Linked DNA regions of Drosophila melanogaster. The protein of the gene in region 2 purifies or fractionates together with the protein of the main gene of each other region. This does not show direct contact. Each region holds a gene or a part of one and is shown on either strand. Other genes may lie near its edges.

Region 1 (7,418 bases), on a different chromosome or scaffold from region 2:
TACTCATGAAGATCTGAATCACTTAATTACACCCATATCAATAAACAGCTAACTTGTATATTTATAAAATATTTATTGCATGTACTAGCACAATGTATTCCTCAGTGTACCTAGATAACCAAACTCATATCATAGCATTCGCTTGTGAACTGAAATTGTGTGAGACAATCTAATCAGTTTCGCTTTTTATACCGGAATTGTTTGTTCATAAAACCGGCTGCTAGTGATCTCAGCGATCAGTTTGGTAAGACAAATCTGCGGATGCGGTTCTCTAAAAATGTTAATTCTGTGGCTCGTGGGAGCTTTTATTGTTCTAATTCAGTGGATCTATAGGCTGAACAGGGACTACTGCATTCTCGGATTCTTTGCCAAGAGGATTCGAACCAAGAATGGACAGAATCCGGAGAGCATTGCTCCATTAGTGAAGGGCAGTACCATATTTGCCAACAGCTTCGATTTGTACGGCAAAGATCACTGTAAGTTATTTGGGGGGAGCTTTGCTGGCTTATCTATGCTAATGACATCATATCATGGCTGTTATTCTTATTATACAATCAGCTGGTGTTTTTGAACACTCGCGTGACTGTGCAAAAAAACTGGGCAAAAGCTACGCGGAATATGCAATGGGAACGGCCATCTACAATGTTATAGACGCAGATAGTGCGGAACGTGTGCTTAATGATCCAAATCTAATAAACAAGGGAACAATTTACGATTTTCTTCATCCATTTCTGAGAACTGGACTGTTGACATCCACGGGTGAGTTTGGATTAGCACATGCTTCATTTGTTTTACAACGCTATCACGCTTTTTAGGAAAAAAATGGCATGCACGACGCAAGATGCTTTCCCCAACATTCCATTTCAATATCTTAAATCAGTTTCAGGAAATTTTTATGTGAGTTTGGATTTCTAACGTAGTAACTATTCAAAAAAAAAAAAAATGAACTTTACTAGAACGGAGAGTCTGAAGTTCCTAGAGCAATTCAAAGGCAATGATGAGGCAATCATCTCGTTAAACGAAGTCATTCCCAGATTTACCCTGAATAGCATTTGTGGTGAGATGCAATACGTTTTAAAAGTTTTGTTAATTATAAAACCACAAACATATCTGCAGAGACGGCCATGGGTGTGAAGCTGGACGAGATGGCCGAGAAGGGGGATCGGTACCGGGAGAACTTCCGTCAGATCGAAGAATGCTTCATTCGTCGCATGAGCAACCCACTTCTATGGAGCGATACACTATTCAAGATGTTTGCCGAAAAGGATTACGCGTCTGCACTCGATGTGGTCCACGGATTTTCCAGCGAGATTATTGCCAAGAGGAGAGATCAGCTGAATGATGAGATAGATAGCAGAGGAAACACTCAGACCGCTGAAGATGAATTGTAAGGCATTTGACAGTCGTCCATAAGTCCATAACAATACCGATTACTTTAGATTTACCAGTAAAAAGCGCTTTGCCATGCTGGACACCCTTATTCTTGCCGAAAAGGATGGCCTCATCGATCACATTGGAATTTGTGAGGAGGTGGACACTTTGATGTTTGAGGGCTACGATACTACCTCAATTGGGCTCATGTTTGGACTAATGAACATGTCTTTATATCCCGAGGAGCAAGAAAAATGCTACCAAGAGATCCAAGCTAACATAGATGGTGAAATGAGCTGAAATTAGTAAACTTACGATTTCATAAGCATATAAAATCTTTCAGATGAGCTTAACATCTTGAACATCGGGCAGTTGAACAAATTGAAGAATCTGGAATACTTTATCAAGGAAACCATGCGCCTGTTTCCTTCTGTTCCCGCCATGGGTAGGGAAACTACGCGGGAAACTGAGCTGAGCAACGGTCTCATCTTGCCAAAGGGCTCCCAGATTTTTGTCCATGTCTTCGACATCCATCGCAATCCCGAGTACTGGGATTCTCCCGAAGAGTTTCGCCCGGAGAGATTTCTGCCCGAAAACTCGCAGAATCGTCACACCTACGCATATATTCCATTCAGTGCTGGTCAGAGGAATTGCATAGGTATGTAATATTGCTTACTCTCATGGAATGATTGGATAAACATATCATTTTCTTTGTAGGTCAAAAATTTGCCATGCAGGAGATGAAAACCCTAATGGTGGCCCTACTGAAGCAGTTCCAAATTCTACCAGAAATCGATCCGAAAACTATTGTTTTTCAAACTGGACTAACACTGCGGACCAAGAACCAGATTCACGTGAAGCTCGTGAGAAGAAAATGAGGCAGCTTTAACGGAATGGAATTGTTCACGGAACTCTGTTAGTCATAAAGTGCACAGTGAACAATAGTTTCATCCAAAGACTCCTTTCTTCTTTCTCTTGGTGCAAAAATGTCCTGTGACTAGCTTATGGCCGATAATCGTTGGCATCTCGACAGCTGCCGCCCTATAAATCATTCATGCCCTGGCGGGTAGAAGCACTTCTCTTCTTCTTTTCCAGCAGCTATTACAATTCCAACTCCCATTTCCCACACAGTGGGAGCTCCCTGTCATTTCCTACCCCTCCTATTATTTTTGAGGCAGCCCAGGAAAAGTCAAGTAATCTCTGTCCTTTAGCTCACATATATGGGAATGCAAATGCATAATGCGCTGGCGACTTTTTGTCATTTGGTTTTCCTCCTCCTGCCGAGGCTACATCCCTTTCCCAACGACTCCTTTTTGCTTTAACTGCGATTTTGACAGTTCGTTACTCAGTTATACCATTTGCATGCATAATGCAGACTCAGCTTTGTTCTAAGCACATAAAATGTGGCAAAAAGACATGGGTGACCATGGGCTCGCAAAATGCACTGTGTGTGGTGCACTGAAATAAGTTCCATCTATCTTTGGCTTCCTATTTATTTTATGAAATATTTATATCATGTTTCGAAGGGATATTTTTAGTTAGCTTCTCTTTTATATGTGGCTTACTACTACTCTACTATTGAAAATAATTATCGTAAACGCATATTTTTTAGTGTGCGCCCAACTCGTTCCAACATCATCATCCATCCTGGGGACCCAGGATTTATGGGACAGCACATGGAAATGGGTGAAAGGCAGCTCTGGTTTTAGCTGCTACTCGGCTACTGCATATTTCATTAGTGCTCTGTGCGCTAGTGCTTCGTCGCCATAAGTCAACATTAAATGGATTCCATTTGTGAGTCATGTAAATTAAATTTCCCTCGCTTTCACATGTGTCAAGCGAACGTTTGGATCTCAGAAAATCTAAGAATCGGCACCCCTCTCACCTGACTGACTGCCAAACTGCGCACCAAAAGGCGAAATAAGAAGTCGCAATATCCGCCACAAAAGAAAAAAAAAGAAGATAAGTGCGACGCACTTTTGCCTGACTGAAGGACGAAACCCCAAAAGCTCAGCAGCTCAACAGCTGGTCCTGTCGATTTGCCAGGGGAAATTAGAAGGCAACCGACTGGAGGGATGGCGATGGCGATGGCGATGCCGATGGAGGCAGAGTGAATTAATTACTTTATGCGCATCTGCGTGTCGCTGTCGGGCACTTTACACTTCCCCTGTATCCTTTTTCCCACTTCCCTTGTCCCTTGTACCCCACATCCACCCATTCCCCCGTCCAAAGTCTTCCTTCCCTTTCGCAAAACTCACACATGACGCTATTAATTTCTATTACCAGCCTCGGACGGCCTGCCTGCCATACTTCATTACGGACTTTCGTGCAATTGCCGCTTGCCCGAGCTACCTTTCAGCTCCCCTTCCCCTAGTGCACTGAGAGAAATTATTGGTGACTGCCAGCGGAATTAAGTTTCGTTGAGATTTAGGAGCAAAGGTCTAACAATCAAAAGTATGCATTAAGTTTGCGCCTTATTAATGATTTCACATGTTCAAAATGTTCAGTAATCATAATTTATAATGTATAAATATACATATGTAATTGAAAATATATTTGATCAAAAATAACTAAATTTATCATTAAATTCTTACCTAATAAATTATCATAATACGCTCGAAATAAAGGTTAAATAATTATTTTACAAGGTGTGAAATACATAATGATTTTAAATATTTATGTGAATGCTATACGAAAATTTATTTCGATTTGTCATACATGACAATCATGTTTTTCTTTATTCTTACTGAAAAATAATGTTTGTGATTGCGTTTGAAAACTAACTTTAAAGACTTCATGATGTCTTGCTTTGAATGATTCATAATAAAAGCCATTATCCTTGCACCTTATAAGCATGTCTTTTATAATTTAATATGAAAAGCAACCTAAAAATTTGTTGCCAAATATTTTCCGCAGTGCCCCGTTTTCGCGATGCCCTTGCTTGTTTGTTGACTCTGATTGGGATTAAGGTTGCCCATGGGCTCTCGGCTCGCTTTGATTGCCTTTGTGCCGCAGATGCCGTGAAATATTTCATTTGCTGCCAGTTATTTGCTCTTGCGCTCTGTAGCTTCCCCTCCCGGTTACGAATTCATTTCTACTCCGGATTTATATCCTTTTTGTTCGAGCGTGTGTGATAATCGCTGGGAGCTGGAAGCTGTGAACTGTCCGATTTCCATGGATGCGTGGAAGGCCATTTAATAAAGTGACCGAGTTCGAGGCGGCCCGTCATAATTTATTTACGCTTTTCGTCCGTCCAGTGAGTGAAGGTCAAACGGAGGAGCCCACGTGTGTGCGGGGCAATTAGGACTCACCTGGCTCGGATGTGGTGCTGGTCTCGACGGGCTCCGTGTTGGCATTGCTTTTGTCCAGGACCAGCAGCAAAACGGTCAAGGATATTAGGGCCCAAAGCGGCTTATGGCGCATTCGCTGCCTGCTCCACATGTCCAAGGATCAGATTGCGATTGCCAGAGTTTCGGCGTTGTTTTGTTTTCGTTTGTTAAGCAACCCGATGAGTCCTTTCAAATAGCAACGAATTTAACACCACTGCACTTCACGAGTTGACTTCTTAATGGGCCAAAAATAGAAATCCACTTGGCCAACTCACACACACACACTGGCGTACCGCCAGCAGTAACCCACACTCGCGCCAAACTGTATGCAACGTGTGCGCGTGTATGTGTATGTGTGTGTGCTCTTTGGCTTTAAAGTTTCACTTTTACTTAGAGTCCTTTGCGGGGTTTTATCCTTTTCGAAGCTGGGCACCTATCCTCTCGAGCGACGACAATCGAATGCCACGAGTGCGGCGAGCGTCTCGCTTTTATACCTCTCGTTGGATTCTGCGCAGCTTCGGCTCTGCTTCGTTCGGCTGCAATCGGCTGCATTCGGCACTCGACGAAGGATCGCACTCGACGAAGCTCGCCAAAGGATGTGTCACGTGCATTTTGCCGGCAAATCGTGTGTTTTTGTTTTGGTTTGGCCCATGTTTTGCTTAGTCGCTGTTGCCATTGCCGTTGCTGTTGCTGTTTTTCGTCATCTCCGATTTTCCTCTCTCGCTGCTTTCGCTTTTCGCTGTGCCCGTGTGTCTGCGTGCGTGCCCTTGTAACTCTCACGTAGCTCTCCTTTTTCCCACTCCCCCCCGAACCAACCAAGGAACACCGCCCACCCACGTGGCCAATTCCCAGCTACAAATGAAGTTTTCCGCTTGCTTGCCACGTTGATTCGGTTACTTTCCAGTTTAAAACTAATTTAATTATACTTCCTTAGTTCAGGCAGATACTTTTTACTGGTGCAGCAGTGAATCAATCGCATAAAATCAATTACTATTTCCTAATTCACTAGGGGAAATCGTTGCTGAAAATGTTATTGGCTTAAAACTGCGATTTATATAGCCCGAAAACATGAGCACATAAGGTACAATAACTAGACGACTATAATTATTTAATTGAAATATTGTATGTAGGAGATAAATATGAGAATTACATTTTTGGATACATTGGCAATAACTGCTAAAGTTTAAATTTTATGATTTTTACTTGGCGGTAAGCTTAGCAACTAAATGCAATTTTTTTGTAGCTAATTATATGTTTATAAATTCAAAAGTGTGCTTCCGTGTTTACTACAAATTCAAAGTGGGTACATTCTATTGTGGCTAAGGAGTGCAGTGGAGCCAAGTGCTCGGCAAGGGACTCACCTTTGCTGCTCCTCAGCTGCCGCTGCCCTGAGAAGTATGCTATCAATTGTGCTGACGTCGCCTGTCTGCTGGCCATTCCTTTTGGTCCTGGCCAATAATCAAGCAGCAGTTGCGGTGATTTTGAGGCCTCTGCTCTGCGACCGAAGCCAAATGGCATTTGGCATTTGGCAACCAGGTTGCGGATGCCACTTGGCCACTAATTACGCAAATGAATGCTCCGACAGGACGCCCCTTGTTGTCCTCGCAAGATAAATGTCACTCATTGGAGGTTCAGGTTAGTCCTGGTCCTAAAGCGTAACCGTAACAATACCGTCTGGGTCGCTCTTGTCTGTCGCATTGAAATTTTGCTGAAATGCGAAATACCAAATGCGAATGCGAATGCGAAACGCGCTCAACTCCAGTCGAGTGGAAAATGAATGTTTGTGTGCTGCATTCTCCCCCTCAGCTGGCAATCCAATTGTGCAGCGGCATTATCTTTTGTGTATAGTTTCTGGCATGCCGTCCTAGTGGCCCGAAACTTTGGAATGCAATCAGGCTGAAAATTTATACGTTTAGCATGTTTATCCTGCCTCCTGGCAACGAGCGGCTTTACAGCAAAATTCAATTTGCTGCCCTGCAACCGCAGGCTGAAATTACATCTCTGGTATTCCAACTCAATTCGATGCCGACGGGCCGAAGGCTAATAACCAATGATTTCCTGGGTGCCAATGAAGTGCGTGCACCTGACATGGTCGCAGCTTTTCTAGATTAAAATGCCTGCATTTAGCAGATTAAATTATTTAATCAAGACAATTACTTACTGGCTGTGCGATGGGCAGATGCAACAAATACATGGCTTACCGAATCCTCATTTCGGTAGAATGAATAATACAATATGCATAGTAAGTCACGCAAAAGGAATATTTACTTTGGCCAGCTTGGTTGGCAGCTGATTTAATAACTACACATCCAATTGTTTTAAATGAAATAATCTCCTCTTCGTTTTAATGAAATTATTGCTTTAAATAAATTCCTTGTTGTTTTGAACATATGTCAAAATAATATATTCTTTAAGTTGTAATTCAGGTTTTAGATATTCAAATATACAATAAATATTCTGAGATTTCTTAACATCGATCTCTTCGATAATATGTTATGCTCCTTATTTTGCTCAGTGCACCAAGCGGAAAACAATCGCAAGTAAATCAACTGGTTCTTAATGCCATTTGCCAGATAGCGAGCCCAGGGATAAACAAGGACTCGCACCCGATGGCCAAATTCCAGGATCTTGTCTTGTCATGCAATTATCGAGTTTTAATGAATTTTCGCGCGCAGTCAGAGGCGAAATCCATTAAAGGACTCGCGCAGACAGACACGG
Region 2 (8,692 bases):
CCGCTCAATCTTGCGGCCGGGCGGCGGCTTGCCCTGCAGCACGCTCAGGTTTCCGGCACCGGGATTGGCATTGGCCACATCACTGGGCGCCTGCGCCCCCTGCGGAGTGGTGCTGTTTGAATCTGTAGGTGGATAAAGATCGTTTAGTTCGTAATTAAATTTCATTAATCTATTTTGGAGCCGGGAGGGATGCCCTCTTATGCTCATTTTGATCGGAGCTTGAGGAAACCCAATTGTTTGTATTGTAATAAACTGGTTTTAAATCTCCATTACCCTTCTCTGCTCCACCTGGCTTGCTCCCCGGTCCCGTTGACAGCTGCTTCTGGACCTGCGCCTGGTTGCCATTGGACTCCGGCAGCGGTGTCACCTCCGGAAGTGCCTCCACGGCGGCCAAAGGTGCCCGCTTTCCATCACCAGCACTCGAGTCGGCGGAGATCAGGGTGTCCTTCTGATCCGCCTCCTGGTAGGGAGGCGAGCTGCAACCACAACATTAGTACAATCCAGAGAATCGATGCACGAACGGATGAACCTACTCGTCTGACTTTTCGGAGGCACTGTCCTTGTCCTTCTTTTTCTTCTGGCCGGAACTGCACACGTTGCCCATGGCGGTCGTTCAAGTCCCTACTCTTTAAATTACAATTGACTGATTGATGTCCTGCAATGGATAGTAGATGAAAATCCGTTTAGTTATTAAATATAACAAAAGACATTTAAACATCTGTTATATCCTTATATAGAATGATATAGAATGCGTTTCATTGAACTATTTTTTGATTTTCTTGGTACTGAAACCCGTTTTATTTATCCAGCTAAAAGTGGTTCTTTCCAAGGATCTGGGAACTTTAAAGCTGCTCACGGTATCTCACACCCATATCGATTAGAAAGCACTCGAGGATTCATCCTGTCATCCTTGTGTGGCATAAACTTTATTTGTTTAACTGTTTGTTTAACTGTTTCAGTAAGTATATAATGTATGTATATAATAATAACCAAATATGGGATATTAACTTGCTAATGGGTGCAATATTTGCACAATATTAATTAAGAAAACACCCAGCTGTTGCAGGATTTCTCACTCTCTTAAAAACACACAAGCACTAACGGATATTCGTTTTCATTTGAAGGATGTTCTCTTGCAAGGATTTTTCCTATGTGGTTCCGCAGATCACTTAATCTTTATAATTTTCCGCACTCGGGCTTGAATAGTTTAGTTGATAACTGTCGTATATACACGTATAGATTTCCACAACAGGTCAATGACAAAAACAAAGTGACTGGGGACACGGAGCACATCCTGTGCAAGCGAGATGGGGCTAGTCGGGGGTGGAAAGAAAGGGGCAGGGGCTGAGAGCAGAGAGCAAAGAGAAAAGCTTTCGCGAGGCGAACGCATGCTCTCTGCGAGAACTTTTGTAGAGAATTTCTGCGTTGAATTGGCATTGGCGTTAATCAAGTGGTCGAGTGAACTGGCCCAAGTGGGTGGTGCTGGGCGGTGGATGGTCTATATGGTGGGTTCGCTGGGTCTGGGTCTGGGTCTCGTCTCGGATTTATTGCGGGCAATGCGCTTGGCTGGATTTTTGTGTACACGCTTGAAAATTGTTGACGCGCGAGCCCCCCGTTTTCGATGCCATCGACGGATGGGATGGATGATGGGTGATGGATGCTCTTGGTTTGGAATCTACTTTATTCGATACGGATTATGTTTGCGATCGTTCGATTCACCATACACAGAGCATTGGTCTTTCGCGACCGATTTGAATTCCGATGCGGGGCGGGAGGGGGCTTAAAAAATCGCTAAAAATAAATTCCCCTATATACACAGAATCTATATGTTTTTTGAATCGGCTAGTTCGACATTTTGTCGCAGCGGTCTGCGAAGTGGTTCAATATCAATTAATTTGTCACAGATTCGCTGGCATCTCAGTTCGCAGATACGATTTTGCACTGGCGGCCAGTCGATGCGGATTCGGTGTGTATGCATCGTTTAGTTGGTTATTTGATTTATTTTAATACACAAATTTGCGCCACTTACTTTTCTTTACGCGCTTTTCACATGCGCCCCCCGGAAAACCCGCCGCACCCCACCGAACGGAGTCTAAAACATTTCCACCCACTGCACTTGCACTTTGCTCAATTAATTGCCTAATCAAAATGTTTCTTACACACACGCCGCGAAGACATTTCGTCGGAAAAGTGTATCTTTCGAGTGCGTTTCCCCCGCTTTCCCCGCTCGCTCCACTGACTCTTGCTCCCCTATATATTTTTTTTTTTGGATTTTCGGATACGAGTGCGCGCCTCGACTAGTTTTTCCTTGTCCCGCCGCTGTGCGTCGTCGTTGTGCTCGGCGCTCCGGATTTTCACTGCTTCTGATTCCGTAGGAAAATCGGTCGCTTTTCCGACCTCCGCGCTCTCGGAGCTTTTTCCGAATCTTATTAGCGCTAAAATAAGTAAAAATCGAGCGTTACGTTGCTTATCGATAGATACATGGCATAGCTGTCGATGTTTCAAATAGATTTTTTAAAAATCAAGCGTAACGTTAATACATCGACAATTCAATTTCAATTGTAACAAATTTACGCCTTTTGTATATAGAGGCCGACCAGTTTGACGCAGACGTAATGAGCTGATGGTTCAAGAGTTGGCGGACAGCGTTTTTAAATCCGTGCCCAAAACACCAAAACCGACACCGACGACAGCGCCACCCATAACATCCTGTGGTCGCCGCCAATTAGAGCTCCACTGCCACTGCCGCCGTGTCCTGGTCCTGGTCACACCCCAACCCCCGCCACCGGACAACGACGACATCTTCGTTGGGGATTTGGATTCTCATGTACATATATATATTTCCATTTACACATACATATATATATATTTCCATTTACATCTAAATTTATACAGATTCCACTTGCGGACATTCCAGCAAATCACGTATGTCTGTATAAGATTAGTCTATTACCCTGTCATGCAATTGACCGTTTGATTTTTTTTAGATTGGCAATGGCATTGGCGTGAACCTCGACATTGCAAGATATCTTCGGGAAGTTGTCCTCCGTGTGCAATTTGGTCGCTTGCCCGCAGGTTAAGAGTGCGGTATGGAGGAATTTTTGAGGGAATGGACTTCTTCATCGGTTATTATAATATAAAAATATCATTAGCCTTATTATGCTCAAGCCTCTGTTTAGCAATATATAGGTATGACGAAACTTGATTTGTGTCGATTCCACCAAACATACCCTTCTCAGTAATATTTTCATTTAGAAAGAAAAATACATTTCCATTGTGGATGGGACAAATTAGAGTTCTTTGAAGTTATAAAAAATGATGAGAAACTAGATCGAAATCGGGTTTTTACGAACTGAAATACGAATATATGAAAATTGTCTATTCCATATCTATATAGTATCTATATCTATGATAATGGTAAAGAAAAGCTTAATACATAGATTTTGGTTAAGGAGCAATAACTTTATGTGACAATCGTTATCAAAAAACCAGATATGCTTGTAATATATGTGTGTTGGTTTTGCGATAACGATAACGATACGTTTTCTTTATTTTCTCTCTCTGCGAGAAAGCACTCACACACTTACATACTTGCTACACTGGTATGTGTGCAAGTATATGTGCAAAAGCTTCGCCGCACAGTGGAACTGTCCAATGGTTCCCAAAAAACCAATGTCCTTGTCCATAAGACTTGGTCACATATAAGTTGCTATATTTGACTGGTATTCACTATAAACTAAATTAAAGTAATATATTAATAGTAATAGTTAAAGAAAGTACTGAATAGAAATAAAGATATTCTTTTGTTGTTGATTTTAAGTGATGAAAAAAAATAAGAAATTTAATATAAATTCTAGTAGAATAAGCATATAAATTTAAGTAAGTATAAGTAAGCATATAAATATATAACATAGTCGTAAGCGCTGAACAATGATCACCTGTGCTTATCGCAGCCAACTTCAAGTTGAAAATGTTAAAACTGACGCTATGTTAAGTAAGGGATTGTAAATGTAAAGTTGAAGAAGACGGTGGATTTTAGAGAAACTAAGGAAACATATCGTGTAAAGCATATTATTACTGCCAATATATGTTTATGATTAAATCTTGATTATTGTTTAATTTAAACTCTGTTTATGTAATATAAATCACTTCATTAGCTATCATTATTATATTAATACTTATACTTATATCTATCATTATCATAAGTATTAATATGATGATGATAGCTAATGAACCTTAAATTGTAATCAACACATCTTATATCGATTCCTCGACGTCTAACAAAAAAAAGTTCCTAACAGTCGAAATTAATGATATCTTTATATTCAAGTTTGGATCCAACAAGCGAGCTAGGATGCAAGAACCTTTCGCATTTGCTCGAATTTTCACCGAAACCTATCTTCACCGTTAAAGGGACCAACCACCGCCGAAAGCTGTCAAGTTGGGCGCTTCTCGCCCGATCTGTCAAAAGGCCAGAGCCAAAAAGGGGAGAAAGCAGCTGGCGTGGCTGCATTTCGTTTCCTTGGCTCGAAGTGAGAAGTTTCGGGCCACCGAGCTTGTCGAAAAAGTTACCAATTAAATTGGCCAGCAGAGGAATTTTGCAAGTTAGCTAAAATGCTATAAATCCGAGGCCAGTTCGGCGAAAGGAAAAAAATCAAAAAGGACACGGATACCCCGCAACTACAACGGAATCAAAATGAATCGCCTGCTGCTGCAGTGTCTAGTGACCACCATTCTGGTCTACAAAGGTCAATAAGAAAACCCAAAAAACCTGAAAACCCGATAAGTACAATCAGTATATTTGAGCCCCTTTTAGTGGTAGTCCGGATGAGCTCACCAGTGGCCGGAATAATTATTTGCAATTTTCGGGAGTCCTCCAAATGGGCAAGATGAAAAATGTATATGCTGCTGCGTTATATAAGCTGGCGTCCAGTGCGCAGGCTCCAAAAGAGTCTGGGACCGAGCCATCATCAGACATCTGGACCAGGCATCGGGGGAAATAGGTCAATGTTTTCGCCCGCACGCGAGGCGGAGCAAAATAGACGCGAATCCCGGAACCAAAACAGAAGCCGCGCTAAGGGGTTGATTCGCCTGGGAATTGGGGTTTGTTTTCCAGCCCAGATGACTGACAGCTGTCCTCCTTGTTCTCTTGCAGTGATTTCGGTGCCGACCAGCACGATGAGCACCAGCATCCAGACGACCTCGGAGATTCCGCAGCAGGATGACGACGACGACGACTGGGAGGAGGACGACGACTCTCTGGAGTCTGACGACGATGGCCGCGTCTACAAGAATCCTCGCAACTCACCCTCCACCGAGTGTCCACGCGACGAGGAGCAGGCCACGCTGCTCGGCCAGAAGTGCTTGAGGAAGTGCTCCTCCGACGAGGATTGCAAGAGCAAGAAGAAGAAGTGCCTGTGCGACGGCGTCTGTGGCAATTCCTGCATTAAACCAGGTGGGTATAGATTTAAATTGCAATAGTTAAAACAAAATAAGTGTAATTCAATCAGAAAGTTGATATGTTGAACCATCAATTCTTTTTATACAAGCAAAGTAATTCCAAATCCCTCGATGCCCTTTCTTTCCTTAGATCGCGAGTGCCCGGAACTAGCCCAGCCCAGCTTGGGTCAGGTCACAGTGGCTGGACGCCACTTCGGAGCTCGCGCCTCCTATGCCTGTCCGCACGGCTACCACGTTGTGGGTCTCCAGAGTCGTCTGTGCCAGGCGGACGGAAATTGGGCCGGAGCCGAGCCAGCTTGCAAGCAGAATAGTAAGTCTACCACAGGTTAATAAACAGATTATATCGAAACGTGCTTGCAATCCTTCCAGTTTACTGCCTGAAGCCGCCGCAGATAGAGCATGCACGGAACTCGGCGCTGCCGGAACAGGAAACCTTTGACCTGGACTCCACGGTTCAGTACCACTGTCACACCGGCTACGTGACCAATGGATTCCCGCGGGCCAAGTGCCTGGCTATTGATAACCTGGCCAGCTGGTACGGCCCGGATATCCAATGCGAACGTGAGTGCAGTCACACTGAAAAGGGGAGCCTCTGTATGCATAGCTATTTGATGATTCCAGCTCGATCCTGTGGCCAGCCACCGGATCCGGCCTACGGATGGCATGCCGGCGAGTGCTACACGTACGGATGCAAGATCACCTACAACTGCGGAACCGGATACGAGCTGGTGGGCAAGCACGAGCGCTACTGCCAGTCGGACGGATCGTGGACGCCCAAGGAGCTGCCCACCTGTGTCTGTGAGTATTGCGGGCTGGCGCCGGTAGAGCTTGTAACCGAACCTCTTTGACCTCTTTGACCACCTTTAAAGCGGATAGCGCAAATGTAACCACCACCCAAGCGTCGTTATCCTAGGCGAGGCGACCCTTTGAGTTTCGTTTCCGACTCCTTGGAGCTGGCAAATGGCACAGATCCCCATATCCGTATCCGAAACTATATATTAAGCGCACTTTGGTCAGGGCTCAGGTTCTCCAGTCGGAGTTCTCCGATCCTGCTAGCCACCCACATTCTCTCTCTATCTCCGATTTGGTTATTGATCTAGCGATACATACAAACAGATTGTTCAAATTTACATATGCACTACCTTGTTGTTGTTGTTCTTGTTGTTGGCCAGTTAATGTTGAATGAATAAATAAAAGTTACCGCAAATCTTGAGCAAGCAAAAATATATACAAGAATTGATTAATCGAATTCGAAAACCGTTTCCTCGAAGTTGTTTTATTTGGTTTGGCGGCCTTCAAAGATTTGTGGTAACTTTTAGCATACCCCCACCATCCCAATCCCATTGCTAACCCCATTCTCCCGCATCCTCCCGCACAGTGGTCACCTCGGTGGTGTGTCCCACCCCGGAGAACCCCAAGAACGGCAAGGCCACCTACACCACCCTGGCCTACAACTCGGTGGTCAGCTACGAGTGCCGCTACGGCTACACCCTTGTGGGCGAGAGCTCCAGTCGCTGCGGAGCGGACCGAAAGTGGAGCGGCACTCTGCCCACCTGCAAGGGTAAGTGGTGTAGTCCCATCTGGATGGTTCTACTGTGTATTCCATTGCATTCCCTTCAATAGAGATCAACTGCGGCCATCCTGGAGTGCTGTACAACGGATGGATCGAGAACATCGAAGCGGGCACCGGACTAGGTGCCAGCATTATTTTCCGCTGCCAACCAGAGATGATGATCAATGGACTGGGCTCCAGCGTGTGCCAGATCGACGGAAGGTGGCGGAACGCACTGCCCGAGTGTCTGGCGCCCTGTGTGGTGCCCACCATTTCGCAGGGCAATGTGTATCCCATCGAGATAATCACGGATGAGAACGGAACGACGATCGTCCATCCGCCGACGACCACCACACAGTCGCCCACTCAAACGCAGAGCATTGGTGGTGTGGAGAAGGTTAAGCACGGAACGGCACTGGAGGTCAAGTGCGATGAGAACTACGAGTTCCCGGTGTCCCTGCTCAGTCCGCCCACGTGCAACAATGGCACGTGGAGCATCATTCCACGCTGTGTGCCCGCCAGGTGCAAGAGCATGCCGCGTCCACCCAAGCACGGCATGGTAATGGCTCCCAAGACGGAGCACGGCATGAAGGCGCGATTCAAGTGCAAAGATGGCTTCAAGCTGGTCAGTCCGGAGGGCAAGGATGTGACAGATCCGCATGACTATGTGCTCACTTGTTCATTTGGCAACTGGACCGGAGAGACGCCCAAATGTGACGAGGTCTTCTGCTCCTTTCCCGGCTACATACCCAATGGAAAGGTCCTGCTTGTGGGCAACATGGGCCTATATGACTATAGACCTTATGTCAAGAAGATCGTGAACAACAAGCAGATCATGTACGATTGCGACAAGGGATATGTCCTGGAGGTAACTTCAATATCCTGTTAGTATTGCTGATTCCCAACAACATCGCTTCTCCACTAGGTTGGTCCGCCTGGCGCCACCTGTGTGGGTGGCAAGTGGCGGCCCTTGGACCTGCCACAGTGCCTCCTGGGCCAGCATCCTCGCCTGCGTTGGAATCGCCGCAGACGTCGCTCTCTGCAGATCCGCCAACTGAGATCCATGTACCTTCTGCAGCGACAGCGACAACTTCAAAGGCAACTGATCGATAACCAAAACTATATAAAAGCTAGTAAGCAATAATATTTTTCGATTGTAAGCAATATATTAACAATATCATATTCCCTTTTAGTAGCCGATCCTGTCCAGCCATCGGTTCATCGGGTTAAGCGAAGCGCCAGTCCCCACCCGAACTCACAACCCTATGCCTCCGACGTCGACCGGGCCTACTCCAAGTACTACCAAAAGATCAAAGAGCGATATCAGCGCTATGTCCGCAAAATGCTAGGTCGTGACCGGATCTACCAGAGGCTCCACTCCCAAGATGCAGTGGGTAGAGTGGGAAACAATCTGAATACCCACGATGGAGGACAGGTCACCATGCGGGGCAAGTCCAACTTTAGGGAATTCGAGAATGGAAACAATTACCTTGGGAGCGGTGGCATTGGATCAGGTGGAGTAGTCGGATCTGGAGTGGTTGCGCTGCCCAACATTAACCAGGCATCGCGAAACCACCAGGTTCATGTAAACAGAACTCCCAAGGAAGAGCTGCTATCCAACGGATCCCCGCCTATAGCATCGCGTAGCCTGCACTTGAATGCCACCCGATCCTATATTGA

The links. Proteins that work in one complex are often made in the same cells at the same time.
Region 1: the proteins of Hasp (region 2) and hig purify together in Drosophila melanogaster (affinity purification with western blotting; one study listed by BioGRID). This does not show direct contact.

The regions. Positions count from the first base shown.
Region 1 is NT_033778.4:9,242,083-9,249,500, forward strand, and holds the start of hig (hikaru genki), read right to left. Parts: upstream 5,168-7,418; 5' UTR 4,813-5,167; coding exon 4,683-4,812; intron 2,329-4,682; exon of another isoform or gene 2,250-2,328; coding exon of another isoform or gene 2,089-2,249; intron 2,030-2,088; coding exon of another isoform or gene 1,715-2,029; intron 1,658-1,714; coding exon of another isoform or gene 1,440-1,657; intron 1,388-1,439; coding exon of another isoform or gene 1,117-1,387; intron 1,058-1,116; coding exon of another isoform or gene 957-1,057; intron 898-956; coding exon of another isoform or gene 816-897; intron 760-815; coding exon of another isoform or gene 559-759; intron 477-558; coding exon of another isoform or gene 278-476; exon of another isoform or gene 238-277; intron 58-237; exon of another isoform or gene 1-57. Other genes in the region: Cyp4p3 (cytochrome P450 4p3), read left to right, coding at 278-476, 559-759, 816-897, 957-1,057, 1,117-1,387, 1,440-1,657, 1,715-2,029, 2,089-2,249.
Region 2 is NT_033779.5:19,512,497-19,521,188, reverse strand, and holds the start of Hasp (Hig-anchoring scaffold protein), read left to right. Parts: upstream 1-3,984; 5' UTR 3,985-4,061; intron 4,062-4,330; 5' UTR 4,331-4,696; coding exon 4,697-4,748; intron 4,749-5,155; coding exon 5,156-5,455; intron 5,456-5,590; coding exon 5,591-5,770; intron 5,771-5,829; coding exon 5,830-6,021; intron 6,022-6,081; coding exon 6,082-6,258; intron 6,259-6,329; coding exon of another isoform or gene 6,330-6,373; exon of another isoform or gene 6,374-6,679; intron 6,680-6,838; coding exon 6,839-7,021; intron 7,022-7,083; coding exon 7,084-7,880; intron 7,881-7,937; coding exon 7,938-8,145; intron 8,146-8,205; coding exon 8,206-8,692. Other genes in the region: CG10132 (uncharacterized protein), read right to left, coding at 1-122, 274-476, 534-604.